3 linked regions of the Bombyx mori genome follow. Each later gene encodes a partner of the first gene's protein in a complex. Links are inferred from orthologs where the notes say so. Each region holds a gene or a part of one and is shown in the gene's direction. Other genes may lie near its edges.

Evidence for each region.
Region 2: GATOR2 complex protein MIOS (region 1) and protein SEC13 homolog share a complex: the UniProt entries of both Drosophila melanogaster proteins name them as parts of the GATOR complex. The link is inferred for Bombyx mori from reciprocal best matches to the Drosophila melanogaster genes mio and Sec13.
Region 3: GATOR2 complex protein MIOS (region 1) and GATOR complex protein Iml1 share a complex: the UniProt entries of both Drosophila melanogaster proteins name them as parts of the GATOR complex. The link is inferred for Bombyx mori from reciprocal best matches to the Drosophila melanogaster genes mio and Iml1.

The regions. Positions count from the first base shown.
Region 1 is NC_085114.1:15,833,191-15,844,074, reverse strand, and holds part of GATOR2 complex protein MIOS, read left to right. Parts: intron 1-3,082; coding exon 3,083-3,271; intron 3,272-3,705; coding exon 3,706-3,844; intron 3,845-3,917; coding exon 3,918-4,056; intron 4,057-5,391; coding exon 5,392-5,593; intron 5,594-6,659; coding exon 6,660-6,859; intron 6,860-7,570; coding exon 7,571-7,643; 3' UTR 7,644-10,884. UniProt on the Drosophila melanogaster protein: An essential component of the GATOR subcomplex GATOR2 which functions as an activator of the amino acid-sensing branch of the mTORC1 signaling pathway.
Region 2 is NC_085131.1:3,989,176-4,000,421, reverse strand, and holds protein SEC13 homolog, read left to right. Parts: upstream 1-3,956; 5' UTR 3,957-4,773; coding exon 4,774-5,343; intron 5,344-5,732; coding exon 5,733-6,104; 3' UTR 6,105-6,170; downstream 6,171-11,246. Other genes in the region: small GTP binding protein RAB8, read left to right, coding at 2,093-2,194; uncharacterized protein LOC101741756, read right to left, coding at 2,839-3,201, 3,281-3,424, 3,504-3,677, 3,747-3,806, 3,885-3,956; DNA polymerase epsilon catalytic subunit 1, read right to left, coding at 6,609-6,776, 7,748-7,880, 8,800-8,972. UniProt on the Drosophila melanogaster protein: Functions as a component of the nuclear pore complex (NPC) and the COPII coat. At the endoplasmic reticulum, SEC13 is involved in the biogenesis of COPII-coated vesicles.
Region 3 is NC_085116.1:10,867,074-10,877,957, reverse strand, and holds part of GATOR complex protein Iml1, read left to right. Parts: coding exon 1-46; intron 47-492; coding exon 493-648; intron 649-1,162; coding exon 1,163-1,177; intron 1,178-2,570; coding exon 2,571-2,788; intron 2,789-3,368; coding exon 3,369-3,580; intron 3,581-4,463; coding exon 4,464-4,638; intron 4,639-8,153; coding exon 8,154-8,351; intron 8,352-9,521; coding exon 9,522-9,605; intron 9,606-10,884. UniProt on the Drosophila melanogaster protein: An essential component of the GATOR subcomplex GATOR1 which functions as an inhibitor of the amino acid-sensing branch of the TORC1 signaling pathway.

The DNA.
Region 1 (10,884 bases):
ATGAACATTATACAGTTTGGCGTAGGGATAGGAACAGTGACCTTACGGGTCAATCTCGGGGTGGCGGTGTTTTGATTGCGACTCGTAAAGATTTAAAAGTTAGTTTGCAGCCGTCATTTAACTCATCGGTTGAAGATTTGTGGGTTACACTCATCGTTAAGTTGAAACGTGAAACTATTAAACTGCATATATGTGTATTATACTTATGCAAACAGGGTTCTAAGTTATCTTTCTCTGAACAATTAACTAATTATCTTACGAAACTCACCAACATTGTTTTGGATAATTCACTTGATAAATTCCTACTTGTTGGTGATTTTAATCTGAGCGGCATTACGTGGCTGCCGTCTAATCTTGGTTACTTTACACCTTATAATGCTCGTAGTAGTGATGAATTATTGCTTGTGGATGAAATGCATGTTCACGACTTTGCTCAGTACAATGGGATAACTAATAAGGATGATAGGATTCTGGATCTAGTATTTTCAAATGAATCATTGGTTGTGAGTAAGTGTGTTGATCCAATGGTCCCGATTGATCCGTATCATGAGGCTCTTTGTATTACGTTCAAATGTATTGAACTTGTAACTCTAAGAACTGCACCGCGCACTAACTATCGATTCAATAAAGGTGATTATTTGTCAATTAATAGAGAGCTTAATAATATTGACTGGTGTGTTGAGTTTCAGTCAAGATCTTTGGAGGGCTGTACTGATTATTTTTATGAGACAGTTAACGACCTCAAAGAGAGATATGTACCATCTCGCGTAACTGGCTCTGATCATTACCCAGTCTGGTATTCAGCTGCTCTTAAAAAAGCTATCAAAGAAAAATATAAATATAAACGTAAATATTCAAACTATGGAAATAAATCTGATCTAAACTCTTTTAATGTGCTTCGGGACAGGGTTAGAGTACTGGAAACTAATTGTTACAATGATTATATTGACTCTCTTGAAATTTCAATAGGAAATGATCCTAAAAAGTTCTGGTCCTACGTTAAATCAAAGTCTAAGTGTAATTCAATGCCAGGATCTGTCTCGTATAACAATGTGATCTCAAGTTCGGCTGAGGGAGTCTGCAGTGCATTTTCTAACTATTTCCAATCTACTTTTCTTGACTGTGATATCTCTGTTAATCTGACACCTAGAATAGCCGATGAGCATTTCACCGCAACTTCTCACTTAAACAACATCTACTTGGACCAAGCCGAAATACATAAGTTAATTCTTAATCTTGATCTATCTAAATCAGCTGGTCCAGACCAGTTGCCTGCCAGATTTATCGTTGGTTGCTCTGATGGCATAGTTTTGCCAATATACCTTCTTTTTAAGCGTTCTTTACATGAGTGCACTGTTCCAGCAATATGGAAATCGGCCTTTATTAGCCCAGTACATAAGAAAGGCTCTAAGTTCGAGGTTACCAATTACAGACCAATTTCCAAACTTTGTATTATTTCAAAAATATTTGAACGTGTTATTTATACTCAAGTATACGCGGCATTGCAAAATGTATTTAATTCAACTCAGCATGGATTTCTAAAAAATAAATCGACTGTTTCTAATTTAGTTATCTTAAATGATTATCTTACTGATGCCATGCATAGTGGTAAACAGGTTGATGTAATTTATACAGATTATAGCAAGGCGTTTGACAAAATTAACCATTCTATTCTGATTTCAAAGCTACAGAACGTAGGAATCTGTGGCGACTTATTACGATGGTTTATATCATATCTTGAGAAGAGATCGCAAGCAGTCGTGATCAACAATTATATTTCTGCTTGGGTACCTATTCCCAGTGGCGTACCTCAGGGTTCGTTACTGGGGCCCTTGCTTTTTATTATTTTCATTAACGACATCACTAAGTGCTTTCAATTCTCACGCCTTCTCTGCTTCGCTGATGACATGAAAATTTTTATGAAGGTTGCTTCCATCAATGATGCCAAGTTAATGCAATCTGATTTAGATCGTCTTTGTCATTATTGTTTACTAAACAAACTTGATCTTAATCCAACTAAATGTCATGTTGTTACTTACACTCGAAAAATCAACCAAATAGCCTACAAGTATAAACTAAATGAACATGAACTAATTAAACTTAATAGTACACGTGACTTAGGTATTGTTCATGACAGCAAACTCACATTCGATGAACACGTTAACTCTATAGTGACTAAAGCCTCCAAAATGCTTGGATTTGTTATGCGTAACTCTCAACATTTTCGTAAAGCTAAAACTATTAAAATACTATACTGTACTTTTGTTCGCAGTCACTTAGAATACGCTTCACAAGTTTGGAATCCTCAATATAATATCTATATAGAACGAATTGAAAGAATTCAGCGTAAATTTATAAAGTACCTTTGTTTTAAATTAAATATTGCCTATAACTCTAATAATTATGATAACCTTTGTAAAAAACATCATCTACTTCCTCTTTACTTGCGGCGTGGGGTTTCCGACATTATATATTATTTAAAGATCGTTAAAGGTTTGGTGGATTGCCCGGAGCTCTTATCCAAAGTTGGCTTCAATGCACAGAGAATATCTTTAAGGCATCGAAATCTAATTTCTTTGCCACTAGCTTCCACTAACTATAGGCAAAACTCATTCTTTTTACGTGTTGGTGGTGACCTCAACAGACTTGGCAGGTTCTTAGATATTGACCCATTTTATTCCTCTATCACAGGACTTAGACGTCAGCTTAGTGCCCGATTTTTCGTGGGCGATGAGGGGGCAGAGGGTGCGGGGCCATGTGCCGGTGACGTGTAGCACAACAGTTTTTAATTAATTTGTGACATTTATACATAAGTGTACATTTAAATTAGTCTGGTGTTTTCCTCCATTCCTTATGTTGTTTCTTGCTTGCTGAATGTTTTTAATTTTTTTTTGTTTCTATGCTTTTGTTTCTCTAGTGTTTTTAATTTGTTTATATTGGTGAGAACCTTTAATTGGCTTTTTGTTTCTATTATTTGTTATATTATTATACTTTGTTAGTTGGCTGTTGGTTCTCCTTGTATTAAATAAATAAATAAATAAAGTATTTCCTCGTGATATGTGACTACGGTTGTTTGGAACAGCTCCGCGTGGTGGGGCTGGCGCTGGCGGGGCTGAGCGAGGAGCGGCTGTGGCGTGAGGCGCTGGCGGCCGGCGCCTCCGCCCTGCCCGACGCCTACCTGCGTGGGCTGCTGCACTTCCTGGCGGCCTCCGCCCCCGCGCCGCCCGCCCTGCACGCGCCCTCCGCGCCGCCCGACCTGTCCGCCGTGCTCGTCAGTATATTGTGACGTAACGCGACCCGCTCCCCCAACCCGCTTGCCCTTGATGCGTCCCTTAAACGTCACTTGAAGTATCACGTCTATCGCAGTGAGAGAATTCAATTTAAAGTAACAACTAACGCTTGTGGGGAGCGTACATTAGGTGCCACTATCCCGCCGGTCACATGTTCAGGTTTGGAGGACGGGGCAGCCGTTGTACCATATCATATAGACTCCGAGTTCAAGTCTCAAGGGGGCTCGCATCCTCGTTGCGAACTCTGGGCTTTGGTAATCACTTATCATTAGTGATTCATTAATGTAATAAACAAATCTGGCAACAATATAAGAGTTATGACAACACAATTAAAATAACCATTTCTTAACATTTTCGTAACATAATACGGATTAAAAACAATCGAGTACCATCTGCCCCGCGGCGCCGCCCGCAGAACGAGACGGAGATGCGGCTGGAGGACCGCGTGGCCTTCGCCTGCATGTTCCTGTCGGACGGCAAGCTGCACGAGTACGTGCGACACACGGCCGACGCGCTCGTGCAGCGCGGGGACCTGTCCGGCGTGCTGCTCACCGGTGAGGGACGGGCTGCCCACCCCGGCGATGTGCTCGGTACACGTGTGTTACACTGCGCGGTGTTGTGGTCCAGGGGCCGGCGCGGAGGGCGCGGCGCTGCTGCAGCACTGGCTGGACGCGAGCGGCGACGTGCAGAGTGCCGCCCTGCTGGCCGCGCGCTGCTTCACGCCGGAGCTGCTGGCCCTGCCGCACGTGCAGCACTGGCTCGACAGGTACCGCGCCCTGCCCCACACCGACCCACATCAACTATCATAGTATCATAGATTTTTACTAATTGATTGAACATTTCTACGGCTTGACCCCACCGCTAGCAAAAGAGGCATTAAATTGTGATTTGTATATACCTAATTCAATACGTAGACGCGCCGTGCGTTCATGGTAGTGTCAAATTATTTTATTACATTCTTGTATAACAGTGCACTTGTAGTGCGCGCGGAAACGCTGGTCATCTCCTGAGGTATGTAGCGGGGTGAGACGGGGGAGAGCGCGATTGACAAGACGCACACGATATTATATTAAGTGCAGATAAATCTCAGAATAACATATTAGAATTAATGTAATGGGTGCCTAATTCTAATATTGTATTTTTCTATTTCCTGGTTAAACAAAAAATGCATATTCAAAAGTGTTTATTATATTTTATTACGAAACAAAACAATTTTATAAGCAAATGAACATTTCTTAAAAAGAAAAAAAAAAAACTATCACCATTATAGTACATTATAAAAAAATAATTATTTATTTATCTATTTTGATTTTTTTACCAACAAAAATTTATGAATTTTCCATCGTAATACCCCCATGTCGAAATCATCAATGTAGATTCTCTTTTTTATTTTTTTAGGTTTTCATGGAGAAGTAAATTTTGATTTTTCCGATGTTTGCCGATTCGAATTTACTTCAGCTACAATTCTAATTACGGTCTGAGAAAAAAAATTGTGCACATTGTAAATTACATTTTACACTGATCGTGTTATTGGTGGACCCATCTTAGGATATTTTATCTCGTGTATGTTTGGAACAAACTGGCAAGAACAACTGTATCGTACAACCGCCGCGGTGGTCGACGGCAGACTGAGTTAGCTTGACGTTTGTCTACCTCGCCCGCCCTGCCGCTCGCATACAGCAGGCGGTGACTAGCCCTTCCGCGCACACTATAGTTAATGGAAAATTTGGTTTTCATTTATTGAACAGTTTTACAGTTTGACCCCACCGTTAGCAACAGGGACATTAAAGTGGTACCCGCAAAATATGTGAATGTGTGGAATCATTTATGCTGTCGACCTTGCGTCGACGTCTCCAGAAGACTGCATATACGGGCGCCGGTGACCACTTAACATCAGATGGGCTCACAAAAAAGAGTTTATAATTTTCTCAGTCACAAGCGATTATTGGAGCAGACGGGTAGGACAGGCTGCCGCACCGCGTGCTCGGTGTCGTGCGCGGGCTGTCGAGGACTATAGACTCGTTGAGACAGGACGGCACTCCGGCAGCAGCAGTGCAGTCTTGTGAAGAGAGTAATGCGAAGTGTTGTGTGTAACGGGCAGCTACCGCGGGCTGCTGGACGGCTGGCGGCTGTGGTGGGCTCGCTGCGCGCTGGACACGTGGGTGTGCGGGGGCAGCGCCGCGGCCGCCGTGCGCCACGTGTGCGTGGCCTGCACCTACTGCGGCAAGTCCGTGGCGGCGGCCGCGGGGGCCCGGCCTCGCCCGCCGCTCGCGCGCCTTCCGCCGCCCGCCGCCAAGATGAAGGTAAATACAACATTCCCCCGCGACCTACATACTTCATATAGTGATGAAATGCTACGTTACCGGTACCTCCGCCCCCCCCCCCCCCTGCCGCGAAGTAGTAATACGTTCCGATTCGAAGAGTGGGGTAGCAGTTCTACTATAGAACTGAACTTCACAACTCATATCTCAAGCTGGGTGGCGGCATCTTTGTTATTGATGTCTATGGGTTCAGAAACACTCGTGAGCAATGAGAAAAAAAAACGTTAACTTCTTATATTAATTAGTTATAAACATTTTAAATCAATTATTGTCAATCCCAAATCAAAAAACCCAGATCGAACTTATAACTATTGTTAACGAGGCTTCTTGAAATTACACGCGGCAGCAAATTGTTTGTTATGGCCGCGCGTGTTTTTTTCTTAAATCACGGAGGCTTCTTGGTGATGGACGCGCCAACAAAATTGTATGAAGTGGGCGCGCGTGATCGCACGGCCGGTCGGCGGCGGAATGAAATGGCGCGCGTCCCGCGGCACGTGGAGGGGGGGGGGGGCGGCAGCGCCTCGTTCGTTAACAACTATCGTTTAAGGCTTCGTCAAACAGAACACGTTCTTAACGCGGCGTTTTAACGTCGCGCTCTTTTCATGTCACACAAATTGACTAGACGAGCCCAACGCTCCTTGACGCAACATAACGCCAAATTATAGTGCCTTTCGATAGCAGTGTGAAAATTAAAAAGTTTCAAGATGTCGAGTGATTCAGATGTGGCATTGTATAAACATGGATATTTCCTAACTAATTCTATCAATTTTTCGGGCATTATCCAGTATTTTAATATACATTCACTCGGACGCTAAAATAAAATTTGTAAAAAATTACAATGCCTGACGTCAAAGCGTCCTAACGCCGCGACAGAGCTTTGCGTACTGCTAGCGCTGGGGCTCTGTTTGACGGTATGTTACCATAGTAGTAGTACAGCACATCTCGGCGTCATAGCGTAGCGCTCTGATGCGCGCTAATTACGCGTTCTGTTTGACGAAGCCTTAAGACGTTTCCGAGAAGGTTCCGAGCAGGGGGCGCGATGTTTCAGCAAATCTCGTCGTGCCCGAACTGCCGCAAGCCGCTGCCGCGCTGCGCCGTGTGCTCGCTGCATCTGGGCACGGGCGCGGGGGGCGGTGCGGGGGGCGCGGCGGGCGGCGGCGCTGGGGGCGCGGCCTTCCCCCGCTGGTTCAGCTGGTGCGTGGCCTGCAGGCACGGGGGCCACGCCGCGCACCTCATGGACTGGTTCAAGTACGTGCCGCCCGCTCCCGTGCGCTCTCTGTCTAATGTTCTCCGTTTCCGAACAAGTATTATAAACTTATATATTTAAGTCGTCGTGGCCTAAAAGATAAGACATCTGGTGCATTCGTATGTAGCGATGCGATGGTGTTCGAATCCCGCAGGTGGGTACCAGTTTTTCTAATAAAATACATACTGAACAAATATTCACGATTGACTTCCATAGTGAAGGAATAACATCATGTAATAAAAATTAAACCCGCAAAATTATAATTTACGTAATTACTGGTAGTAGGACCTCTTGTGAGTCCGCGCGGGTAGGTACCACCGCCCCGCCTATTTCTGCCGTGAAGCAGTAGCGTTCCGGCTTGAAGGGTGGGGCAGCCGTTGTAACTATATTGAAACTAGAACTCATCTCAAAATGGGTGACAGCATTTACGTTGTAGATGTCTATGGGCTCCGGAAACCACTTATCACCAGGTGGGCCGTGAGCTCGTCCAGACCCCTAAGCTATAAAAAAAAATAAAAAAATTCAGATTAAAAAAAAAAAAAAGTTTTTATGACACCGAAACTGACAATAAGATGATATTGTTTTTGCCCTGCTGCTGCCATCGGGCTCAGGACGTTAGAGCGAAGTTATAGAATGAATATAAATAAAATATAATGAGAGTGACACAGCTCCCAACATGCGGAGCGCGTGCCAATGAGTCCCGTGTGCTGCAGGGAGCACGCGGAGTGCCCGGTCAGCTCCTGCAACTGCCGCTGCAGCACCCTGGACCCCCCCCACCGCCTGTAGCGCGCCCCGGGGGACCGACTATCTACTGAACACACGTTTTTCTTTGGTGATATTTTTTGTTTATTTCATCTGTGGGTTGTTTAGTAATTAAGATCAAACAAATCAAAAGAAAAAATAACCTTGAATATTTAAACTATTGTGGTTTAATCTCCAATTTTGTCTCCGAATGTCGTTAATAGTAAAATATGAAATCAATCGAAATTTCATAATGAATTATGTAAAGACACAATTTGTTCATTATACTTTTTATTATTATATTATAAATTTCTATAGGTTAAGAAAATCAATGAATTGTATATCTGAGACACGATGAGTGCCCACTGAGGCTCGACACAGAGCCGTTAGCGAGGGACGCACGCCAGCGTGTGAGAAGTAGCTTGTGATCTGGGAACCCAGATAAAATACCTTTATAAAATATACGAAGAGTACTCGACCGGATTAAGGATCCGTTTTGTTTATGTTTTTTTTAAGTAATCACCGTTGGGCTTGCATACGGCTCATCTGACGGTTAGTGCACACTCTAGATTATTATAATCATTATTAGTAATTAAAAGCTACAAGGCCTGTGGGATCCACGTTCATTGTATCGAAGTAAATTCGGGAAAACTAATTAAACATAAGAACGTTTTACAGAAATATATATTTTTATACTAGAACTTAGTACTTTAAGGTAAGAGCTTAGATTCAGTAGGAGGGCTCTTCACTAGTCATTATTGAACAAAAAGTGTGATCTGTCTGTACATCGGGATTTTGTAATGACTCATGTTCGCTCAATGTGCAAATGACCTCTTTAGGTATAGGCTTTATTCAAACATATACTTTGGTCTATATTTTTAACTACTCTGTGTACGACTCGACCATAGATTATACACTTAATATATTAGGACTCGACTTTTGGCGGAAACGCGACAAACGAACTTTTACAAGGTTTAATTTTTGTAATTAAATTTTCTTCCGGCTTAAACGTCTAATAAAGGACGGTTATTAACTGTTTAGCATCTGTGAAAGTGTATAAATGTGAGAAAACGAAACGCAGTCGCTGGATATGGCTTCTCGGTTTGTTCCAAAAAGTTCAGTGAAGTTTCAGGAAATAACCACAATTTTACTGAGACTTTATTTCATCCCATATCGCTTCATTTAATTTCATCCAAATTCATTACAGTCTCAGATTACATAGAAAACTTCTCATTACATCCAACCATTACATACATTATTATTTTTCGTAATGTTCGTACTGTTAGTAGTGAGAAGGCCGAACTCTTTTTAAAAAAGGATTTATTCGACACTACACAATATTTTTAATGAATAATTAATTATAATAAAAGAATTTAGAAATAATGAGGAAAATTGGTAAACGTCTCACTTCAATGAATATCTGACCCGAACTGAGCCTGGTATGTTCTCATGAAATCACTGTGAGAGGGCTTATGATGAGTAAGGTGTTTGGTAAGCATTAGTCTATACAGGTTAGGGATATAACAGTACGAATATACAGAAGATTAGGATTAGATTATGGCGTGATAGGTTTGCCATGTGGGAAAAATGGAACTACTACTTCTGAAAGGTCAGTTTTGTTGTAATCTTATTGATAACCTACAACACTTTTCAATTTGAACTCAAAGCATGAATATAGTCATGACTTGATACTTTTAAGACTTATTCTAATCCGAAAATGTACTTGGGTCGTAGAAAAAATATAAATGATTTATTAAAAGACTCGGTGGTATTGATACGTTTTTTTTTAATGCCGTATAGGCAGACAAGGATACGGCCCACCTGATGGTGAGTGGTTACCGTCGTCCATGGACGTCAGCCATGCCAGGAGCAGAGCCAAGCCGCTGCCCACCGTTAAGTACTCTCCACAAGCCTCGTTTGAAGGACATGTCATAGCGCTCAGGAAACACTGTGGAGGGGAGCTCATTTCAAAACCGGATGGTGCATGGCAAAAAAAGGATCTCTAGAAATGCACTGTGGATGAACGCAGTGGCTCCAAGTAGTATGGATGAACTCTACTCCGGTGGCGGGCAGTGCGATGGTAAAAACGAGATGATAGAATCATCTCAAATAATACCGCAGAGCACTACCCATGGAACATACGGTACAAAATACAGAGAGAAGCGAAGTCCCTCCGCAGACCCAAAGGTTCGAAACAATCGGTGAGAATGGGATTATCGACAATTCGAACATTGGAATGAGCACCATGCCTTCATCTTGGCCTTATCAATTCAGACCTACTACTATATGTCATCTCGGCACTCACACCATTCTCTTGCATCCTCCTCTATCACCCATTCCATCCAAGTCTTCCTCCTCCTCCTCCACCATTACTATGGTACGCAGTAAGTAGACGGCAGGACAAGCACAAGTCACAGTCTTTTTTTAACACTGATAATGGCAACACCTTAAAAAGCGATTAAGAAATTCGACCATAATCATGGACACATCGAAATATTTATTCATTGAATGTGTTACATTTTTTATTGCTCACCATGTAAAGACATCCCACCTTTTCATTACTGTCATTTTATAAAATCTGTAAAACTCGTCAACAGCAGCTAACAGTTTTATGTGTATATTAAATACAGAGTACGTTCCCTCTTCCGACGGACTGCTCATGTATTTTTTTTGTAATTTTATGGCCTGCTACTAGACCTTTAAGCCAAATTGTTAATGTAATTTTTTTAAGGGAAAAATGACCTGGTAACTAAGACCTTTAAGTCAAGCCTTATTTTAATTATATTCTTATTTTTATGAAAAATGATAATATGGAGGGAAATGAAATGAGACGAGATGATTTGGGATGAAATATAATCTCAGAAAAAGTGGTGGTCATTTACTAAGATTTTTTCAGTAAACTTTTTGGAGGATCCCGAGAAGTTACGTCCAGCGGCTTTGTTTCATTTTCCCACAATTGTGTACTTTCACAGATATTAAACAGTTAATAAATCACCGTTATTACACATTTAAACCTGAAGAAACACTAAATAGACAAAATAAAACAAATCACACAACTTTACTCCTCGCGTTCCCGCCAAAAAGTCGTTCATATAATCTTTACAAATAGTGTGCCCTGGTTTAAAATTAAAATCTTCCTAACTGAATATTACCAGGACTCGTGACAAGAGATTCATACTTTGTTGTTTTTTTGAATTGTTTTCTTTTAAAAGTGAAAAAGAAACAACAACAACTGTAAATAAAAATGCAGATGTATTTCCAAATATATAGATTTATATATACATTT
Region 2 (11,246 bases), on another chromosome or scaffold:
CGGTAACTTTCTTCTTCCCTGATCTTTTCTTACCCGGAGTCCGCAACACGGCGAGCAAGCCAGAGCCTTTAGCTTCGTTAATAATGCACCTGACAGTACTCACTGATGTTTTTGTTGCTTCCGAAGTCTGTTTTACTTTTTCCATATCATTCTTCCCCTGTTTTATAATGAAGCAATATACGTCGTACACAAATTTTCTACCCTTTCTTTTACGTACTACACCAGTTTGTCACGGCATAGTGTATGTTTTATAAAAAATCAACAAACACTCAACAAATAGCAATGGCAACAAAGTCCACAAGCAATTATAACAAATCACTTAACGATTAATAACGATAGACTTTCCACTGTACGCAAGCGTACTTTTGGGAGCAAGCGGAATGAGGGCGCGGTGCGGGACGCAAGGTTCGACTGATCTACCAATAACGCGCTCGATACGATTTCCCCTGCCGTCGCGCCTCACCCTCACCACCAAAGTGATCTAAAATTCGGTTCTGCGCAGTCAAGGTCATTTGCTCAAGAAGTTTGCCGATTACTATACATAGTGTAGTATTTACCAGTACCTACTAGAAGTAGAAGTAATTTATTTGCCGGATTAGCTTATTAGATAATGTATTATTAAGTAGTACTTATAAATGTTCTCAAAGACCAATCTAGATCGCGGTCGAATTCAGTAGTTGTTCAAAAATAATCAAAAATAAAATTAATCATGATTACCGAAACCAAAAATTAACTGAACATAAACTGTACCCGTCATAAAAAATTATCACGTAACGCGATAACGTTATTTCATATAGAAACCAACCTTATACTTGTGCATCGAGTATTGCACGTAGGCGTTTTTAAAAGATTTCGTAAATATGAATGAATGGAGAGACATTTCTTGCTGGTGGTCCACAGAGAACGTTCTGAGACCGAACGCGTCGGAACAATTTTTGAAGAAGTCGTGCATTCCAATTCGTACGATAGCCGCTATTAAAATCAAATGAGACTTCGACCTGATACGTCATGATAGGCGAGCAGCAGTCACGAGTTGTGTTCAAGTCCAGAGTGCATAGTGCGAGTTTTTAACGTTCTCGATAACGTAAAAGTTAACTCAAATTTGTATGCAGTTAGAACAGCGCCTTTGGTGGCAAGCGTTCCACACGAGCACACAGCAGAGCCGTGAGTTCCACTGCCTAAACGCGCCTATAGAGAATAAAGCTGAAATTAAACAACACACAACTAATATATTATATATGTTACGGTAAATGTACACTCTTGGGAAATGTACACTTACTGGCAATGGCGATTTTGTATTTTGTATGCCACGCTCACATATTTTACCAAAACGACATGGTCATTGTGAATTCAATGTACATTTCCCTTCTTTGAAATTGTAAATGTTAGTTGAATGTACATTACCCAAACGAGGAGGCAATTGTGCACATTTACCGTTAAATGTGTACATTTGCCGCAATATGTACTTTTACACCGGTCACTCACATGCGCACGAATACGCAAACCCGCAAGTGTAGGACGACATTTAATTTTGCAAATGATTATGCAAAGTTTTCGCTGCATTCGTGGTTTTCCAAGCTGTGTCGGTTTTTTAACAGACATCAAAGCGCGCGAACCGCGAACCTTCGCGTAGTCTCACACACATTCGTTTGCCCAGTTGCGTCGACGATTGCGGAGGTAACGGAAGTATCGCCATTTTCATAGTTCGTGACGTCTACTGTGTAGCGTATCTTCATCAAAAGAAATCCCATAAAAACAGCATGGCTGTTAATGATGTCTGGGAAAAAATTCAAAACTCTTTTTCTCTTCAATGTTCTATTGACGAATTAAAAAGGAGGATAAATTCGTGAGATATTCGTGAACAAGTGTAAGAGGATGCGCAAACGGGTTCGCAAATTGAGTACCGAACCCATTTGCACAGCCGCTAAGTTTGCGAATGAATGTTTGACGGCCCTTCACATGCGCGCAAACATTCGTACTATGTACGAATATTTGCCCGCATGTGAGTGGCCGGCATTACCGTAACATATAGATCACGATTGTTCGTTAATGTTATTAGTGGAAATATGCTAAATTGTTGTTCTGATAATAGGAAGCGAGTAATCCGTCGGGCGGTAGGAGTGGCGTCCACAAGCCGACGCTGAACGACGCTCGCAAGCCGGTGACGTGGCTGTCGCGTTGCAGCGTGCTTTGACCCCGTCTGCACACTACGACCCCCGCCCCAGCCCTATTCTAACATTGTGGTACTTTGAACTGCCCACCTTGACTATATTTTTCTACCTACTTTACTTGACGGTGCGTTGACCTCCTGCGGGGATGAGACTTGCTTTTGTATTTTTATATCCAAGACTACGAATACATACTTAATTTCGTCTTTGAAAATAAATAAACAGTATTGTGCATTAAATTATCTGTAATCGGTTTGTAATTTGATTTTGTATTTAAAAACTTAAAATTTCACGGTGTTATGTTCATATCAATTTTAATGGTAAAAGGATATTATTTCAATAGATTATTTTAGCTGTACTTTATCTTTTGCTACTTTTTAAATTAAGATTATATATTATATATATATATTTTAATGTAATATAAAATGTACACTATTTAATTTGAATAAAGAGCTTTTTTTACATAAATCTATTTTGTTTCAATAAAATTCCAATTTAAGTAACGAATTAGTAATTTTTATTTACCAACATTAAATGTATACAAAGATAATTTATTTCACTATATAAATGGAAGGAACATCACTAGTTTTGAAGAGAAACCGAATAATTATAATTGTAATAACTCATTTGGTTCTTTTCTGAACTAGACTTTATACGAATGTTTTTCATTTCATGATGTTTGTACTTGTTTAGGTTTTGACCTGAATGGAATTAATATTAAATTCTTTGTTCCTATTAAAGCACTTTTGGTGGTAAATTTTAACAGTTGCAGTAACTTCTTGGCTGTCAATACAAATAACTCCAAAGTAAGCTGTGAACCTTTTCTCCAATAAACGATATATGCTGGAATTGGTGGGAGATTCTCAGACCAAATGCCGTTTCTGAGGCTTTTTGCTTGTGCTTCTGCTGATAATAGAGCAGGGGCAATTTGTGACTCAATGGTATTCTTTTTTAATTCTTTAGGAAATGATGCTTTTGCAAATCCAAGCTCCACCAATTTTTTACCAATATCCAATGTTTGAACATCTTTACTCTGAAATGGAAAACATTTTTGAAGAGTAATTTTTAATAATTTAAGGTATTTTGTTGAATTTGTTTAAATTGAAATATACCTTAGGCTGAGGTAAATGCAATAATACAGTAGAAACTAGATCATCATTATCTCTTCCGATTGGCTTTAATGTCACTTGCTGGCCCCTAGCAACACATTCCAGCCAATTGACTGCATTCCCACTAACTACTTCAATTCCCCACAGCTAAAACAAAACAAAAAGAAAATATTTTTATTACTTTGTAGGTAAATTTTCGTACAAGTTATATTTTTATCACATTTACCTTAACTGGTAGTGGAGGTTTACTGGAATGCCATAGCGGTAAATATATTGGGGCTTTGTGATTGACCAGAACACGAACTGGTGAATGTTGCACTCCAGCATATAATCCTTTCAAAGGTTCATGATTTCTGATGAAATGATCTGGAACTTTACTGGCTTTCGAAAACTTGCTAACCTATCGAAGTAATTTTATTATTTATAGTTATGTAATTATTAATATAGGGTTTTTTAAACAAATACTTACAGGGCGAATCTTATGAACAGATATGGCGAGACCAGCGGTGGCTAGAGCATATACTGCTATCTGTAAACAACAATCAGATGATAGTGCTTCGTTTACAAAGTTATTATTATCAACATCAACTTGTAATTATCTACATACGTTAACCCCGCGATAATCTTGTTGTAATAAATATTGCATGTTGTAAAATATTCCTCCTTCTTTTTGAGACATTTTGATGTCTACAGATACGAAATTCTCATAATTTCTTAAACTTTCGTAAATTAGCTCATCAATATTTTCAATCCAATTCTGAATTTAGATGAATGAGAGAAAAAACAGCTTCAGACTTGTCAGAATTTTTGTTTGATTCTACTAGAGCTCTTTATTATCTTTGGTTAACTACCAAATGTAACCTGACACAGTGTTTAATCTTTGGTTATTACTTACATAAAGCATAGATTTTTTAATTTTTTTGAGGCCTAGTCTTGATATGTCAATAAAAGTATCTTCATACAGTTTAGGTTTAGCTATAAATATAAATGCTTAAAACTTTTGGGAGATACTTCATAAGTAACGCGCAAAAAGTAATAAAGAAATAAATAACTTAACCAAAGATTGTGCTAACCTAAGGTTAACAAATAATACCAAAGAGGTAATTTATGACCTCTAACACACGAGCGGCATTCTGGCACTAAAATATTTGTGCTTTTTTGTAGACTGTGTTGGAGCTATGTGATCAATAATCTCGAATCATCAAGAAAATCTCTAGCTTCCATAACAAAATTGATAAAAAGAATAATTCAGTTGTAGCGTCGCGTATGTTGAAGCTGCAATTTAATTCTGCCACTTTTTATTATTATATTGTTAAACTTACCTAATAAGTTTAGAGGTGACGCACTGCGACTGTCTTTGCAATGTCGAAATAGCTCGTGTGGATGGATACAAAATATTTTACTGGTAGCACTGTTGAAATTCCACGTCAACTGATTTGACAGTTGATTGCCCATTTTCCGTTGTGTATTGTGTAGGTTAATAAAAATATATAATAATGATCACTGTTTTGAATACTATTGATACCGGCCATGAAGATATGATACACGACGCCGAACTGGATTATTACGGACTAAAACTAGCTACATGTTCTTCGGATAATTCAGTGAAAATATACGACATTAAGAATGGTACACAAACATTGGCTGCTGATTTGAAGGGTCATTTTGGCCCCGTGTGGCAGGTAGCTTGGGCTCATCCCAAGTATGGGAACCTATTAGCGTCATGCTCTTATGACAGGAAAGTTATCATATGGAAAGAGTCTGGAGAGTGGACTAAACTATACGAATACACTGGACACGAAAGCTCTGTGAACTCTGTTGCGTGGGCGCCGGCTGAGTACGGCTTAATCCTCGCTTGTTGTAGTTCAGATGGCTCAATCTCTATCATACAATATTCACAAGATACTGGTAATTGGGACGTAAAAAAGATAACGGGTGCACATGCCATTGGTGTTAATTCTATTAGTTGGTGCCCAGCTTTATCTGCAGATTTGAACTTAGATCCGCTTACCAATAAAGATGCTCCAAAGAGATTAGTTACTGGAGGGTGTGATAATTTAATCAAGGTATGTTACAAGTTGTGTTTAATTGTTTACTGACTCTGTATTACAGTAGTTAGCACTCCTAACTGTTGCGCCACAGAGAATCCTGATTTGGGGCCAGATGAATGTGTGTGATTTATTCCGGGTTATTTATTTATAAGGCAAAAAAAGAAGGCAGCAATTTTTCTTTTCACAATATCATATATTGCATGCATTAGTTAATTTTAAATGAAAATAGATATATTTCAACAATAATTAGTTGAATTTTTTTAATATATCTACCTAAAATTACCTTGTCCTTTATTATCGATATGTTCTTAATAAACCCTGTATTTAATGATTACTATTTAATGACATCATAATGCTTCTTAATTATAATTTTTTTAGTTAGTTATTCCGGTTGTTGTTTTCAGATTTGGAGAGAGCAAGGTGATCAATGGGTTGAAGAGAACAGATTAGAGTTGCACATTGATTGGGTCAGAGATGTAGCGTGGGCACCCTCTCTGGGATTACAACGTTCCATGATTGCCAGCTGCTCCCAAGACAAGAGGGTTGTCATATGGTCTAGTGATGATAATGTATCTTGGACACCAACAATATTAAACACATTTGATGATGTAGTATGGAGTGTTAGCTGGTCTCTCACTGGCAACATCTTGGCTGTATCAGGAGGAGATAACAAAGTCAGCCTTTGGCGTGAGAGCACTGATGGCCAGTGGTTATGTATTAGTGAAGTTGCCAAAGGTTTGGGCCAAACACCCAATGATGAAAGAAGCACACTTTGAATTTGCTTTTAATTTCATTTGTTAATTTTGTAATCTGCTAATAGTAATATAAAATATGTACATTAACACTGATCTTTTATAAACTTCATCAAAACCCAGATTTAATCTATATATTCAATTTGATAATCCAATAATTGGGTTGTGACATATCTAACAGGTTTTAAATAAATTGCTATGATTATTATTACTGTATGTATTGAACATGGGCTGAGGAGATGAAGTCACTATTGTCAATGTACACAATAATTTTCAATTTGATAGTATATTTTATAGAATTTAAAGAGATATTTTTAGTTTAAAGAGAAAAGTTCACATGTATACTTGACATGGAAATAAAAATTAGAGAAATGTACTTTTCACCTTGGAAAGTATGTTGCCATATGTCGCCAGAATAACTAGAATAGGTAAAAATATTTGGGTTCTTGTCTTAATTGTTTGTGACAATAGAAATAAAACAAAGGGACATAATATATATAAAAAAAATTATACTTAAAATACAAACTATCACATGTTTTTAAGATTAAAGTCAATTTGTTCTAACAATAATGGCATCTGATAATATTCGGCTATTGTCTTAAAAGTCATTAGTTGGTCTTTGATCTCTGTTACGGGAACCATCAGCGAAAAATCTCCAGCACAATCACAGACCACAGACAAATTCTCACGTTTTACCTGGAAGAAATATACATAGATTCAAATTCCGCAAGTAACCAAACATTTTTTCCTAGTCTTTATATATGTATATGCAGTCTGCTCACAATCCCATAAGGTATACATTCCTTTATTTCTTCCTTTAAAGAACCACATCAACTTCTTACTCGGAGTGCTAAAGAATGTTATTTCTTACTAAAGGAGGTTTAATAGAAAGCTGTAGTTGACTTTTACACACCATCATTAAAAATTAATTATTCTATGAAAATAGTATTATTGTAGTAAAATATTAAAAATAATGAGCTTTTGAGATGGGCTTCCTCATTTAGTCATTTTGTGATGTGGCTATGGGGTATTTCGATTTAGCTTAGTCACAGAATAATTGAAATTTTTTTTTTCTTTTTTTTTTTTTTTTTCCCTACCTAAGCTGAGAGCCTTGAGAGGCTATATCAGCGTAACCCTAACTTTTGTAGGTGAGCTCACGGGGCTCAAACCTGATGACGTTGCTAACACGAACCCTAGCAAGAGCCGTGCTTCGCAGAATCTACCACCGGATCGGAAACGCGACCCACTGAGAAGATCCGGCGAGAAACTCAGTGGGCTGTGTCTGAGAGTTAATTTACTCGTCGAGCCCTTCGTCGCAAGCGACGGGTTCGACGAGAACGGTGACCGGTGCTTGAAGTACCTAGAAGCACCGTTAGTGGATCGGGAGGATCCGAGATGACGTGTTTTAGGCGACGTCGACGGCTTTCCATTCTGTCCGCAGGATCGGGAATGTAGTTACCGGCGGCCACGATGAGAGGGTTCTCGTGTCGTGCCGCTTTATCGAAGTGGGATTGAAATAATTAACACTCCATTGCAGTGTTTCCTATAGTGCTAACATACTTATTAGGCGCTGTTACGTCTGGGCAGCCTTAAAACTTACATCGATAATGGTGGGTGCCGGGTGTGCATACTCGAACAATGAATGTGTAATATTTAATTATTAATACCTGGTGACATCGGCTACATATAAGATCTTGCAGCGTATACGCCATCGTACGTTTGTTCATCGTCTCGATTAGTCGCCATTCTATTTCCTGATTATCATATGCTGTTCCACAAGTTGGACATAAACACGCCGGACTGAAAATAAACATAACACAATGTTCTACACGTGCTTTAGAAATACTGAAATTTCAGCTCTCTCATAATCTACAAAACACATGTTTGGCCAGATGATTGGTCACTTAATTATTCTCAAAAACATTGTTTACTATTTAATCTAATATTCATTAATAAAAATAATAAAAATGGTACGCGTGCAACTTGGTGCACGTGAAAGAAGTGAAACTTCTTTTGTGTTGTGTGGTATTGTGATTTTCTTCATTTTTCATTCTTAAATCTTTCTCTTGTAATAGTGATAGTGTAATAGGAACTTTCGCCTTTGCCGTTTCCCTCTCTCCACCGAGTCGAGTGGTTCACCAGACGCTATCTATTTTCTCAATCTCGCTGTTCCTAAAATCTGTATCTTTCTAGCCGTAAATCTGTAGAGAGTTAAATTTTACTTTTAACGTACCTAAAGAAGTTTCACTTCAATAAATTAGTGTTCTCGGCTAAAATTCGATTCGATTCAAATCGATTTAAATTCATCATTCGCTGAATTTTTTTTATTGCCCTTGTAGGCAGACTGGCATACGAGCATAAACTCTTTCGAATTATTACTAAAACAGGTTATTTGAATTATCACTGAATCGTGGTTGGTGCGGGGTTGGGTCGGTTACCGTTCCGTCGACTATCGCCTCGACGACCCGTCGGTCGGGCGTCCTCGGGGTAGCGTCGCGTATCTGGTTGTAGTGTTGACCGCGGGAACCCTCCTACTCTGACCGGGTTCTGACCCCGGACGGAGATCGGACGTCGGGTGTAAGAGTGCAGGGGAGTCGTTTAGTGCGGTAGGGCCCTAAAATTCCTTGGGCCCGCGGTCTGCTCCCAACACTTTGCAGATCGTCAAGTCCCACATACCATCGTAGGAGGTTCGGCCCAGGCCCGAAAAAAAAAAGGTTACCGTTCCGTGTCGTCTCGCGCGTCCCTGCACAGGTCGAGGTCGCGGCAGTGGTTGCACACGCGGCACGTGAGCTCGGTCAGCACGCACGCGGCGCACGGCTCGCGCCACTCCGCCGCGCTGCTGAACTCGCCCACGCCGATCAGACGGAGCAGGTTGCGCCGCACCAGCGTCATCTGTCAGGTGTTTGTCACATCTATACTGGGTGCATGGAGGGTAGAGGTAAGGAGAACCGACGCTGTGTGTGCTAAATAAGGGTGGCGCTACTGTAGCAACCGGGTAAATTTTAAAAAAGGCGCTGAAAGTTATCAGAATAACATAGAGAAATAAAAAAGGACGAAAGAACTGTAAGCACTACAAAATCACAAAAAGTATTTTATTTAAAGCTGATAAGAAAATGCAATCGATGTCTCCATGTTTTACCACAGCAATAATTTTAGGTTATATTGACGAAATTCGTTTAGACTACGTAAACATGTGAGGTCTTGTATATTACATTGTCACTAAATACATTAAATTTCCTAACTCAGCATACTACAATCAGTTAAAAACTGCTCAATTCATACCATACCCTGTGCCTATGCTAGCGTCATTCTGGAGGATTTTTGAATCGTTATTTAGTGCTGAAAGTCGGACACTTTTTCAAGCTTCTCCCATAGTCAGACGGTTCTCCTTACCTCCACCCTCCATAATAATAGTGTACAAACTTATAATTTCAACTATTTCTAGTCGAATTTCGACTACCGGGGTCTACTAGTATAAATAAATTAAAAAACTTCAATATCATAGTCTTAAGTTGTATGTACTCGAACCTTTCACGATGGATAAACGAACTCACAGACTCGCTCTTAAGTGTACCGGTCATTGTCGATATAAAAACGCCAATGCCGCCTTGAGACGTGAGGTCCAAATCTCAATTGTATATTATAACAGTTGTCTCAACGTCTGCTAACATAATTATTACATCGCCTCGATGTTGCCATCGTATTTTCCTCAGAAATAAACTAGGATAAAACGTATTAATACAACAATTAGAGAATTTAAAGTTACATACGTACATCACGTCCAAATTTAAGTTGATAACAAGCGTGCAGAAAAAAATTATAACTTACTTGTTAATATTCTTGATTTGAACTTAATAAATAGATAACATTTCATCAATTGAGTCGACTATTATCAAAGCCGGCAATGTGACTTTTGGACAATTATTGGTAAATCAGAAAAACGAATTATTGACTTTGTATTCTATTGGCAGTCATAAAACTCTTCTGAACGACATCTTAGATAAATAACAGGTTAAGTTAATACTTTATTTAATACAGGTTTTGAACCGTATTCTTTGAAGGAGGTTCGGTAGGCAGCGGCTTGGCTCTGCCCCTGGCATTGCTGAAGTCCATGGGCGACGGTAACCACTCACCATCAGGTGGGCCGTATGCTCGTCTGCCTACAAGGGAAATAAAAAAAAAAAAAAAAAGGAGATGATTATATTCAAATCAATCTGTATTGACATATCAATAACATTTTTTTGTCCAAATGCACAGATTGCCACCTTTGATAATAGACGACTCAATTTGTCGTTATTGAAATATGTATCTAGACGGAGGCATATTGCTAAGTACATTATTCACTTTTAGATGAATTAGAATTGTAGGAGTTTACAGACAGGCACGATATTAAAATTCATTTCGGCACAAGGTTAATTATAAGCGAAAGAGAAGCAGAATTTTCGTACGCAAATTTGTTTATACGTAGACATCTGACGTTTGCAAAGGACATACTTTTCTTAGCTCTGAAGACCGAAGACTCATTTATATAATATAATTTAAAAAAAAACCGTGCCACCGTTCAAACCGGAACGTGTAGCCTACCGGTGCGGACTTACCGTACGTACTTATAATAAATAAATAAATAAATAAATATTTACTAACAATCACGCCACGTTAACTGGTCCCGTGATAAGTTCGTAAAGAACTTGTGTTACAGGTACCAGATAACGGAAATAAATGTAAGATTTTTATTATACACATACATATATTTAATATACATCCATAACCCTGGAAAAGCCATACAAATATCTCCCCTTGGCGGGGTTCGAAACCGCGACCCCCTTGTGTAGTGACCATGTCACTTACCACTACACCAGACGGCCGTTAAAATATATATAATATAATATAATAATAATAATAACAACTGTGAATAAATCACGCACAGTCTTCGGGTCTCACATTAAGATTCCGTGTTATGTGTACCAGAGTCTGACATACATACTTATATATGTTTTAAATATAAAAATATATAGATAACGGTCCGCTCCGGTTACGCGCGGGTTTTTAACAACAAATTTAACGATATTTGACGTTGTTTTATTTTTTTAATTATAAGAACACTTATTGCGGCATAACTATAATAGTTAGACATATGCTGTCGCGACACTTCTTGTAAATAATAAT
Region 3 (10,884 bases), on another chromosome or scaffold:
GGTTCCTCGATATTAAACAACAACCATTCTATATATCAGGTTGACGGTGAGTGTGCGCAATGTGCGTCCGACCTAATCGCCTTCAATGAAGGGCTCGGCGAGTAAATTAACCCATAGACACAGCCCGCTAACTTTCTCGCCGGATTTTCTCAGTGGGTCGCGTTTCCGATCCGGTGGTAAATTCTGCGAAGGACTGCTCTTGCTAGGGCCAGTGTTGCAACACTTCCGGTTTGAGCCCTGAGAGCTCACCTAAACGCTAGAGTGAAGCTTATTTTTTTATTGCTTAGATGGGTGGACGAACTCACAGCCCACCTGGTGGTTACGCGCCATCCACCTTGATACATAAGTTCTAAGGTCTCAGTTTAGTTACAGAAGCTGAAATAGTCTCTCATGGCTATCAGCATAGTTAAAAAAACCGAACCTAATGGATAGATATCAGTAAACTAATCTATACCACGGTATCTAGGAATGTTTGTAACGTTTTTGTAACAGGCAACATTATGTCGCGGAAACGCATGATAAGTGCGTCAGGAACGTTAGCCGTGCTCGGCGTGTCCGGGGGGACTCCCTCCACGACCAACAATGCGTCGCTCGCGCTGCTGTGGGGGGCTACGGGCGAACAGGAGTGGACCCCCGCTCTGACGACAGGTCGGTATAAAATTTATTCAATTTTCATTTTGTGTGTTTTGCGTGATGAGATTGGCTTCATAAAAAATGCTATAACTTATCTCAAATATAATGGGTTTTTTTTAAATTGCATTTATAAAATTGTTAACGGTAAATTATAACATATTCATCAACGATATACTATTGTGACAACAGAATATATCTTCTTTTTTTTTAAATAATTGGCATTTTCATTTTAACAAACCAATCTCATCACGATTCAGTCTTCTATTAATTTTATGGGTTGGCCTATATGATCTGTTATTTAAAATAATGAAAAAAAAAAAGTATTTTTACTTTAGACAAGTTGAGTCCAGACATAGGCCAGTGCATACGAGTTCACTTGCTTACTTTCGGCTCTTAGAGCTGGCGTGGCTATTGAATATGTTTTTTTTTTTTTTTTTTACTAAACGTGTCATCTCATTTTTGATGTTTCATGACATCGTCGCATTGGGATATAACTTCAATACCACACGGTTTCGATTGGGAACAAAAGCGAACCGCGCCATAGGTTTGATATCACAATTTCATGAATAGCTCATACAAAGTAGTTTATGTGTAACGTTGTGTTCATATTTTATATAACGCTGTGGGGATTCCGTTTTAATGAATTTGCTTTTTTATTGTAACTAGAATTCCGATGTCACCTTCACAATTCAAACATACATAGCTGTTGTAAATAAAGAGATGTATTTGTGCGTACTGCTTTCAACGCATGAAAAAGCTAATAACTTAGTTCTAATACGAATGACTCAGATGAAAATTGCAATGTCGGGTTTGTTTGTCACAGTATTTTTTACAGCCTGACCGAAATGATGTGTTTAGAACGACTTCGACTGCTTACCATTCGGTCCGCAGGATCTAGTTACCGGCGGCTACGACAAGGGGGCTTTCGTGTCGTGCCGTCTTCTCAAAGTAGTGCACTGATACCGACTGAAAATATTTGCTGATGGAGTCAAACTCCAGATTGTCTTAGATATCCACGTTCCTTATGAACCACGCTGCTCCGACGGATATACTGAAAAAAAAACGGTTGAACGACTTGAAGGGGTTTCAAATTAGTGGGGGCCGCGTGGGCGAACACTACGCTTGCATAGGTCATGACGAGGCGTCAGCAAGTTTTGTAGAGTTGCACCTTATTACGAAGGGACAATTTTCTTCGCTAAACTTCCCTTGCAAATCATCGGATAGGGTTGTCGCAGAACGCTGCGTCTCGTGAGAGTTGCTCTGTGGTCTCAAAGCAACAGAGAATTACTAAATTGTAATTTGCGATTGAGTCAAGCGATTTTTTTAACTTCGACATACTACAAGCTGTGTATAAATCACCTAAAACTTCATTTCATACATTATCATGAAGTCATCGCACATTTTATTGTAGCATTCATAGTTTTTTTTTTAGTTTAGTTTGCTTATAGTTTAGTAGAGTCTAGTCTTATTTTTCATCTGAGATGCATGAAATTCTAGCTTACCATTTCATTTTATTATTGCCATCTATAACTGTGTTCATTATTTTTAAATGTTTCCCACTCATTTTTTTATTATTAAGACATGACCTTTTTTTCTCTTTAAATTTGTTGTTAGATGAAATTGGGTAGTTTATTCAATATATATCTCTTTGGTTTATTTAAAATTGATTTTAACAAGTTTTATCTGCTTATGATGCCTTGAACATTTCCCAAATGTTATAATAAAGTTAATAAATTACCGAAACAAATTCTAGATCATAATTCGAAGATTTCTCGAACTCTGAGAAATATAAAACAATTAACTAGTGAGAAACTTGAATCAATTGACCTTCATTAATTTGTGATTGATAGACAAAATTTGCAATTTATATGGAAGCTTCCCAGGTGTAGGTTTGAGAAAAGAAGAAGGTCTTTAGAACTAACGAATTCGTTGTTTAGGGGTCGACTGGAAGTCACTGACCATACCTGCCTGCCTTCCGATCACTACGGACTACTTTCCCGACAAGAGATCACTTCAAAACGATTATCTAGTATCGGATTATAATCTGTTACCGGACGACGTGAACGCCGATTTCGCACAGAACCGAGCTATATACAAAGATCCCCTGACCACAATGGAAGTATTCAAGGAGTTGGTCTCACAAAGATTAGCTCAGGTTAGTATTACTTAATTATGTATTACTAGTGTTCGTCCGGTTATTAAAACGCGACCATTATCACAAGACACTTCAAGCTAGTCTACAGATTTATTTTATGCATTATAACTTATTTTTTGTTTTGTTATTGAGATGTATACCTACTAAATCAAGCCAAGAGCTATTATAAAAAGAAAAGAAAAAAAAATGGTTGACGCATAAGATAGAATGGTACTTAATTGCTCTGTCTTTTCTTATTTAAATATATAATTTAAATTAAATAGCTTTTTGTCAATTGTGGTATTTCTCAGAGTAATTTCAAATAATTTGGCTACTTATTTGGCTTGGATTCCAATGCCCAAAAATATCTTTAAAAACTACCGCCTTTTGGTTTTATTTCGCTCTAATTTTTTCAAGACTTGCACCGCGGATCTACTAGAGGTAAATTTAGAATCTTCAATATGAATTTGAGGACTCTGCTCTCGTCGTCTTAGCGAATTATTCCAGGATATCATACGGAAATCGCTTTTTAAACCTGTTCAATATACATAAACTTGTGTAAAAGTTGAATAATTTTATAAAAAAACCAAAAAAATTTTAGGGTTTCCAGCTGATTGTGGGTGTTAACGAGAATGAAGTAATCGAATCTCACTGTGCGTCAACGGCGACTCCCCCACCATCCAAAGTGGCCCCACAGTGCGGGAAACCAGCCAACGCAGCACCCACCAAGCGTTACCTGCTCTCGATTGGGAGGATCTTCCACAAACTTACGCTGGTCGGGTCCACCATCACCGTCACTAGATACAGACCCAGGTAGAAGATTTTTAGTTATCAAGTATCCATTTTCGATGAAAACTTTTTTAGCACCGTCGTAATTCAAAGTTGAAACGAAAAACACATATGAGCTATACGATGTAGACTTGGAGCGAATGAAATGAGAATACTTTTGCAAGTTCTCTCAAGAACCTACTGCGTGGGAACTGCACCCTTTTTTTATAATCGGTTGCAGTTTTGTTTCGATTGCTAGGACAATGTGTGGAGATTAAAGCAAAAAAGTATTAACAATAATAATAATAATAATAATAACTGGGAACAAACCACCCACGGTCATCCGGCCCCAATTTAGGATTCACTGTGTTTTGGGTACCAGAGACTGACAAACGAACGTTTAAATAAACATGTGTAATTATTATATTACCATAAATGAAAACACTCTCTCCGTAATAAGTCGTCGTCATGGAGTCGGACGATGGAATTGAGACATTCCCTTAATCTAAGGGTAACCATATCTCAGTTCGGGGTCAGGCGAGGGAGACCAAAGAAGACGACATTTAAGCTGCTGTATAAACGTTTTAAGAAAGAGCAAAAAGGCGACAGATGTCTTTGCGACCCACGCTGGTTCTGGCCATACGGGGTGATAATAATAATAAAAACATATATAGATAATAAACACCCGAAAAAAGAGCAAACAAACTTATTCGCCACACAATGTTTCACTCCAGGTGGGACTAACTAATGCATGCAATTGTTAGGCAGCGGCTTGGCTCTGCCCCTGGCATTGCTGAAGTCCATGGGCGACGGTAACCACTCACCATCAGGTGGGCCGTATGCTCGTCTGCCTACAAAGGCAATAAATAAAAAATGCACTGCCGAATCAATCAGTATTTGAAGAACATTTTTTAATTTTTTATTTCAGACATCCATATCCGCCATTCAATATACACTACCGTTATCGTTTCCACGCACCGAACCACGACACGTACGAGGTGTCGTGGGTTTCGTTCACGACAGAAAAACTGGAAACTTACTACTGGAACTACATGGACCATTACATTTGTACGCGCGGCGACAGTGATTTCGCACTAGTTGAGGTAAGTCTTGTATAACACTATTCATAATTGAGACTGTATTATCTATATATTAATACGCGTAGCAAAAACTTTGTATCCCTTTTCACCAAAATTGCGCGGACGGAGAAGTAACAAATTTCCTACACATATAGAGGAGTGCAGAATGTCAATATTTGTTTAAATTATGCATAAAAAATACATTAAATCAACAATAAAAAAAAACATTACACACCCTACCATGTATTTGACACACACACGTACGCATATAGTAAGCGGCACGTAAGTTGGCAAGGTTTTGGTGTAGTGGGGGTAATGTTGCGCATAGTGCACATTGCAACAAAAAAATGCCCGCATATAATTTAGTTTTATTTTATTAAATTTAAAATTTGCCATAATTTATTTTTAAGCCTGTGTGTTGAGAAGAAAGTTAAAGAAAAGAGAGGAATTCGTGAAGTGTATTAGGTGTTATAAATAAAATACAATTAAAAGTTAAGAAGTATAATTTAAAAAATATACTTATTATTAAAAATTATGTGTCGCCGTCGTCACTATCATTTACTAATAGTGCTACCCCTTGGATTAAATTTATGGTAGCACCTGAGCTGGTGGAAGGAGTTGGCTCCTCATCGTCGACATAACGAAGAGTTTCTGTCGTCACTGGCGTAAATAATAAAACGCCCAGTGACTGAATCGACTATATGGTCATTGGTATTTGGTCCTGGCATTGCAAACAAACTTAAAACAATAATAACAATTCGTAACAAAAACTTAACATAGATAAAGGGTTCCTACAACTTTGTAGGCACATGTGTAACCGGGAGCGAACGGAACGTGGACGCGGTGCGGGAGGGGAGGGTCGACTGACTCACCAATCGCGCGTTCGGAACGGTGCTACGTCTTTCCCCGCGTCCCGCTTGACAACCAAAGAGACCTAAAAAACGACTTCTGCGCATCTAGCGACTCTTGTCAAGTTACGTGCCGGGGACTATACCAGTTGTTTATTGTCAAACTTATTGCTATTTATTGCTATTATGTGGTCAAATTGAGAATAGATTAAATATCCTTTGTCTTTATTAATATTTGCTTGAAGTGTAGTCTTGGCGAAATCTGTGATGATAGAAGTATAGACTGTGACAATAGAATCATAATAGTGTACAAACTTATAATTAATTAATTATTTAATTATTTATAATAGTCGAATTTCGACTACCGGGGGCCCACTAGTATATTTTTCAAGTGCTATTAAAACACTTTTCCCTAAGTGTTTTAAGTTATGAAGTTTAACAAACACCCTGTATATTAAATGAAATTAAACATTTCTTTATTTACCTAGTATATATTATTTTTATAACAACGCGTCAAATTCGAATACGAACACTAATGTGCTGGCAGGGCGTTATGCGAGCTCGTATTCATCATGGGTCTTTCGAATTTTTCCCTTTGAGACATCGACCTCATGTGTCAAGGTGGATAGCAATATTCGCTGTTTGATTTGTATGTATGTACCCTAGTAGCTGCATAATAACACTACTTTACAAAAAAAAAGTTTTTCTTTTACCCAAAGATAATTCATATTGGGCGTGTTTTCTACTTGCCCCCTTACTACAAAAATATATGTCTCATAATTTTATCACGTCAAGTTTTTGATATAACCACATTCACCAGAATTCACCTAAGTAAGCTGCCTTGTTAGCCGTGTCTGAGTTTTTAGTTTGTTTTTATTGCGTTTAAGTGTTATTCAAACATTTATTTTTGTTTTAAAATATCATCAAGGTAGTGTAAATTAAACCCAAATAACTTTTGCTATGTTTGTGGTCAAATTATTTTGCCAAAAAAGAAGAGACCAATCACTGAATCACGTAAAAGGAGCCTAGTTCCATTACTTTCAAATCGGTAACAAACCTTGATAAAAAATGGGTTCCTGGTGTAGTGTGCGAAAATTGCAGAAGTATATTATTGAACTGGGCTGCAGGAAAAAGAAAACATTTACGATTCGGCATCCCAATGATAGAGAGATAGAGATGGAGAGAACCAACAAATCATACTACTGACTGTTACTTCTGCCTCACTGAAACTACAGGTTTTAACAATAAAAACCGAAAGCACATACAATATCCTGATGTTGCATCAGTCACAAAACCTGTGCTACATTCTGAAAAAGTTCCTAATCCATCATTACCCAACTTACAGCTATTACATCAAACTGGGATTAATGAAAAACTTTGTCAAAGCACTTGACAAAGATGGACAAGCTTTAAAGTATTTAAAAACCATTTTACCTAGTTTATCTGATGCAAAACTCAAAGAAGAAATCTTTGTGGGTCCCCAAATAAGTATACTCCGCGCGCGAGCTCGGAGGATTCGGGGGCTGAGGAAGCGGGCGGGCGATAGCAGTGTTAATTACGTGTGATTTCTAATATAAATAGTCTTACACTTATAAGTCTTTTTGTTTACGCAAATCGCTATTTAATTTGATGAAAAAGGATTAGAGGAATATTACTGGCAAAAGGATGGCTTAATGGAGGATGTTGTCGAATCATTTATTATTGTAGTATGTGAGGAGAGTGACATCAAGAGGAGAGTACATCAAATTCTTCAACTACTGATTAATCTGATTGCGAGAGTAATTAATAAGATTTCACGTTCATTTTGTTCAATAAAAATCAGTTCATTAAATGAAATTCATACGTGATCAATTGTTTTATTTTTATTTCAAGTACATAATACCCTCATAAAACTATTTTATAATTTACACTCGCACGGAGGCTTAAGATGTGTTAGTATCGATAGCGCAATATCGACTAATCACAACACTAGCTCATTACGTCAACATTCCTTAAAAATCCTCGAAGCTCGCGCGCGGACAGTAAAATATTAAAGGATGAAAATTTTGATGGTAACTTATCCAATGTCGAAAAAGATGATTGGTATTCATTTAGAGCATTAGTGAAAATTTCGAAACAATAAATCTGAATAGGAAACAATTAAGCAGAAATTATTTCCAATTTACTGAAAAATTACCAAAGAATGAGAGTAAATATGTCGTTAAAAATTAATTTTTAACATTCTCATCTGGACTTTTTTCCGGAGAATCTGGGAAGCGTGAATGGTGAGCATGGCGAACGTTTTCACCAGGATTTGAAGTTTTTCGAGGGAAGATACAAAGGATTTTGGGATTAAAAATATGTTAGCGAATTACTGTTGGTCTATAAATAAGGGAAACTGATATGAATCAGTATAAAAGAAGAAGTAACACGACCCATTTTTTATTTGTTTCTAAGATAACTGTATAAAAATGATAATAAATAAATATAATCAATATTTACAAAATTGGACGTCCTAATTTTTTTTCAGCTTCAGTTTTTAAGTAAGGGTTTATAACTCTAACGTACATATCAGTTTCATCTCTGGGTAAAAAACCTTGTAAAGTAGTGTAATTTGCATATAATTGCATAGTGGGGTACAAGTTTTTATTTATATAAAAAGTAAAGAGTTCTGTGAATAATAATATAAAGTTTCGAACATTTTTTTTCAAGCCTCTGAAGTACTGGCGGTTCCGGACTCTACTATTGCCTCTCTACAATCCGGCAACGAAACAAATTCTCGAAGACGATTCGACCCACTGCGACATATATCCAACTCCGACGCGTCATGATTTGGACCAACTAACCGATAATTTCCTCAAAATGACCGAATTGTATTTCAATAAAGTCAAAAGGCCAAACAAACAGAGGGTAAGTATATAATGACATTGGAAATGTTGGTGAAAGTCAAATTCTACTTTTTATAGGACAGCTAGACTTAAAAAAAGTAATATAGGACATATTGACGACTGATGTCTATGGTTTTGCTAAAGTAAATATAGATTATTGAAGCATTATGAGATCACTAGTTTTCACCACAACAGTAGTGTAACTCAAAATCTTCATGCCAGTCTTAACGGCTAAGAAATACAATTATTTAGCCTAGACTGTGTATTATTTTTCAATCCATGATCAATTCTGACGTATTTAAATTCAATGTGGTTAATAAAAATAAAAACACTAAATATATAGTGTTCGAATTTTTGTATAGCATTTTATGCATTGTGTTGTATAGGTCACAATGTATGTACATACATTTTTATATGAATATAAAAGAATAGCATGAAATTAATATGCACTTAATATAATGACACGTAGTAATTATGCACCGCATGGTATTTTGCACAGTCTTCTAAAATGTCTAATTCATTGTAGTTTTGCAAATATGCTTGACTGTTTATACTTCTAGACTAGTCCAACAAAAATAATCTATGATAAAAAGCTATGATGTGTGCATTTTTTGTTTGTCATTAAAATAACCATGTACAAAATGTACAGTATTGAACTGGAGAAACGATATTTGTATATGACGATATTCGATTCTGCACGCATTATCGCTTACTGGTCACTCAAACAAGAAATTTCAAATTTCACAGTCGATGCCTCTAAATTTACCGTCCGCCGCATGCATGATTGTTCGCAAACAATAAAAAGGTTAGTTGTTATTGAATGATTGTTTTAATCATAATTTGCATTTCAACTTTTGCGAGGATACAGATTATGACATCAGCATGGATATTTTTTTATTTTAGTTTACGAATCAGTTGCTGTATATTATGTTATTTTTAATTTCCTGTTTGAGATCCGAACGCATGATTAACACACGAAGAATAAGCTTCATCGATATGTTTCGCACAGACCCTATCATTTGTTTTCGTCCTGCATACGTTTATTTAAAGAGAAGCTTATTCTTTGACGCTAATTAAAGTACGGTTAACGTGGTGAGTACGAGCACGGCCCACACGTTCGTTGGTGCGGCTCGGTGCGGTCGGGCGTGTGAGACCGAGTGAGACGGGACAGTGTGAGACGCGCGTGCTGCAGATGGCGGGCGCGGGCTGCGGCGCTAGCGACGCGGCACTCACGCGGCGCCGACACTCCACCTCCATCCTCACGCGGAGCGCACAGGTACCGCCCCGCCACACGCTCCGACACTCGCTATCTCTCTCGCACACACACACACACACTCACTCATTCACTCACACACACACTCAATCACTCACTCCCACTCACACACACTCACTCACTCACTCACGCACACACACACACACACACACACACACACACACACACGCGCGCGCACGCACTCACACACGCGCACGCACGCACGCACTCACACGTCAATATGAAGTCCTCGTTTGTACACGCACGCACACGCGATTCGCTTGCACCCAACGGCAACAACAAGATACGCCATATTAAAACACAGAAACACGTGTTATAGATGTAGTCTCACACTCGAGTATTCGGAACAGTCCCGTACACAAAAACGAAATATTTACAAACAAAATATTTAAATTTATTTACTTATTTATTAATATTCATTCAGTTTAGGCATTTTATTTATCTGTACTTGTCACTGTTTGATTTCGGAACGTCGAAAGTGTCAACGAGCGTAATCCGCTATGACACTTTTTCCCTTTCAATTCCAGCCGCCAAGGGTGATCGATTTCATATTTCTGTTATATTCAAACTTTAATAAATATCTCTACTAATAAATAATAATATAATCTAATAAATATCTCAAAAGCAATAAATACAGTCCACTCTCATTTACCACAACGCAACAGTCAAACTGCTGGAACGTCACAGACGCAATCCATCGAGTTTCCCGCTAGATCTTCTCAGTGGGTCCCAATTCGAGTCGATTGGTTGTAGATTCAGCGAAGCACTGCTCTTGCTAGGGTTGACGTTAGCGAAGTCTATCAGCTCGCCTACCCAAACGGAGAAATCAGAATAGCTCGTCGAAGCTAGTGATCATCAGATAGAAAGAAAGCTGGGGCTCTTAAATAAGATACATCAACAGAGTAATTTTCATAATCTTACAAAAAAATCACAATTCACAAACTGAACTACACACAAACAACACATGATAAATGATTTATTTCAGATATGTGAAGACTTGACTAGAGATTGACCGAGATTGCCATCTTAACATGCTGAACAATACATTACTCGTGTATTTTAAAATAAAAATGATAGGCTATATCAGGAACAAAACAAAAAGAAACTATGACTTTTTTCGGCTTATCCCACTCTGTGGTACAAATTCAGAGTAGGTGGAACGTATTACCTCAATCAAAACGAATGAAAGATAGTGTATTTTTCTCAAAAACTTTGTTAGAACTAAAAGAAAGTTCTATAGATAGGCAGGCACCATCCAAATTCTTTCGAGTATGTTTATCGA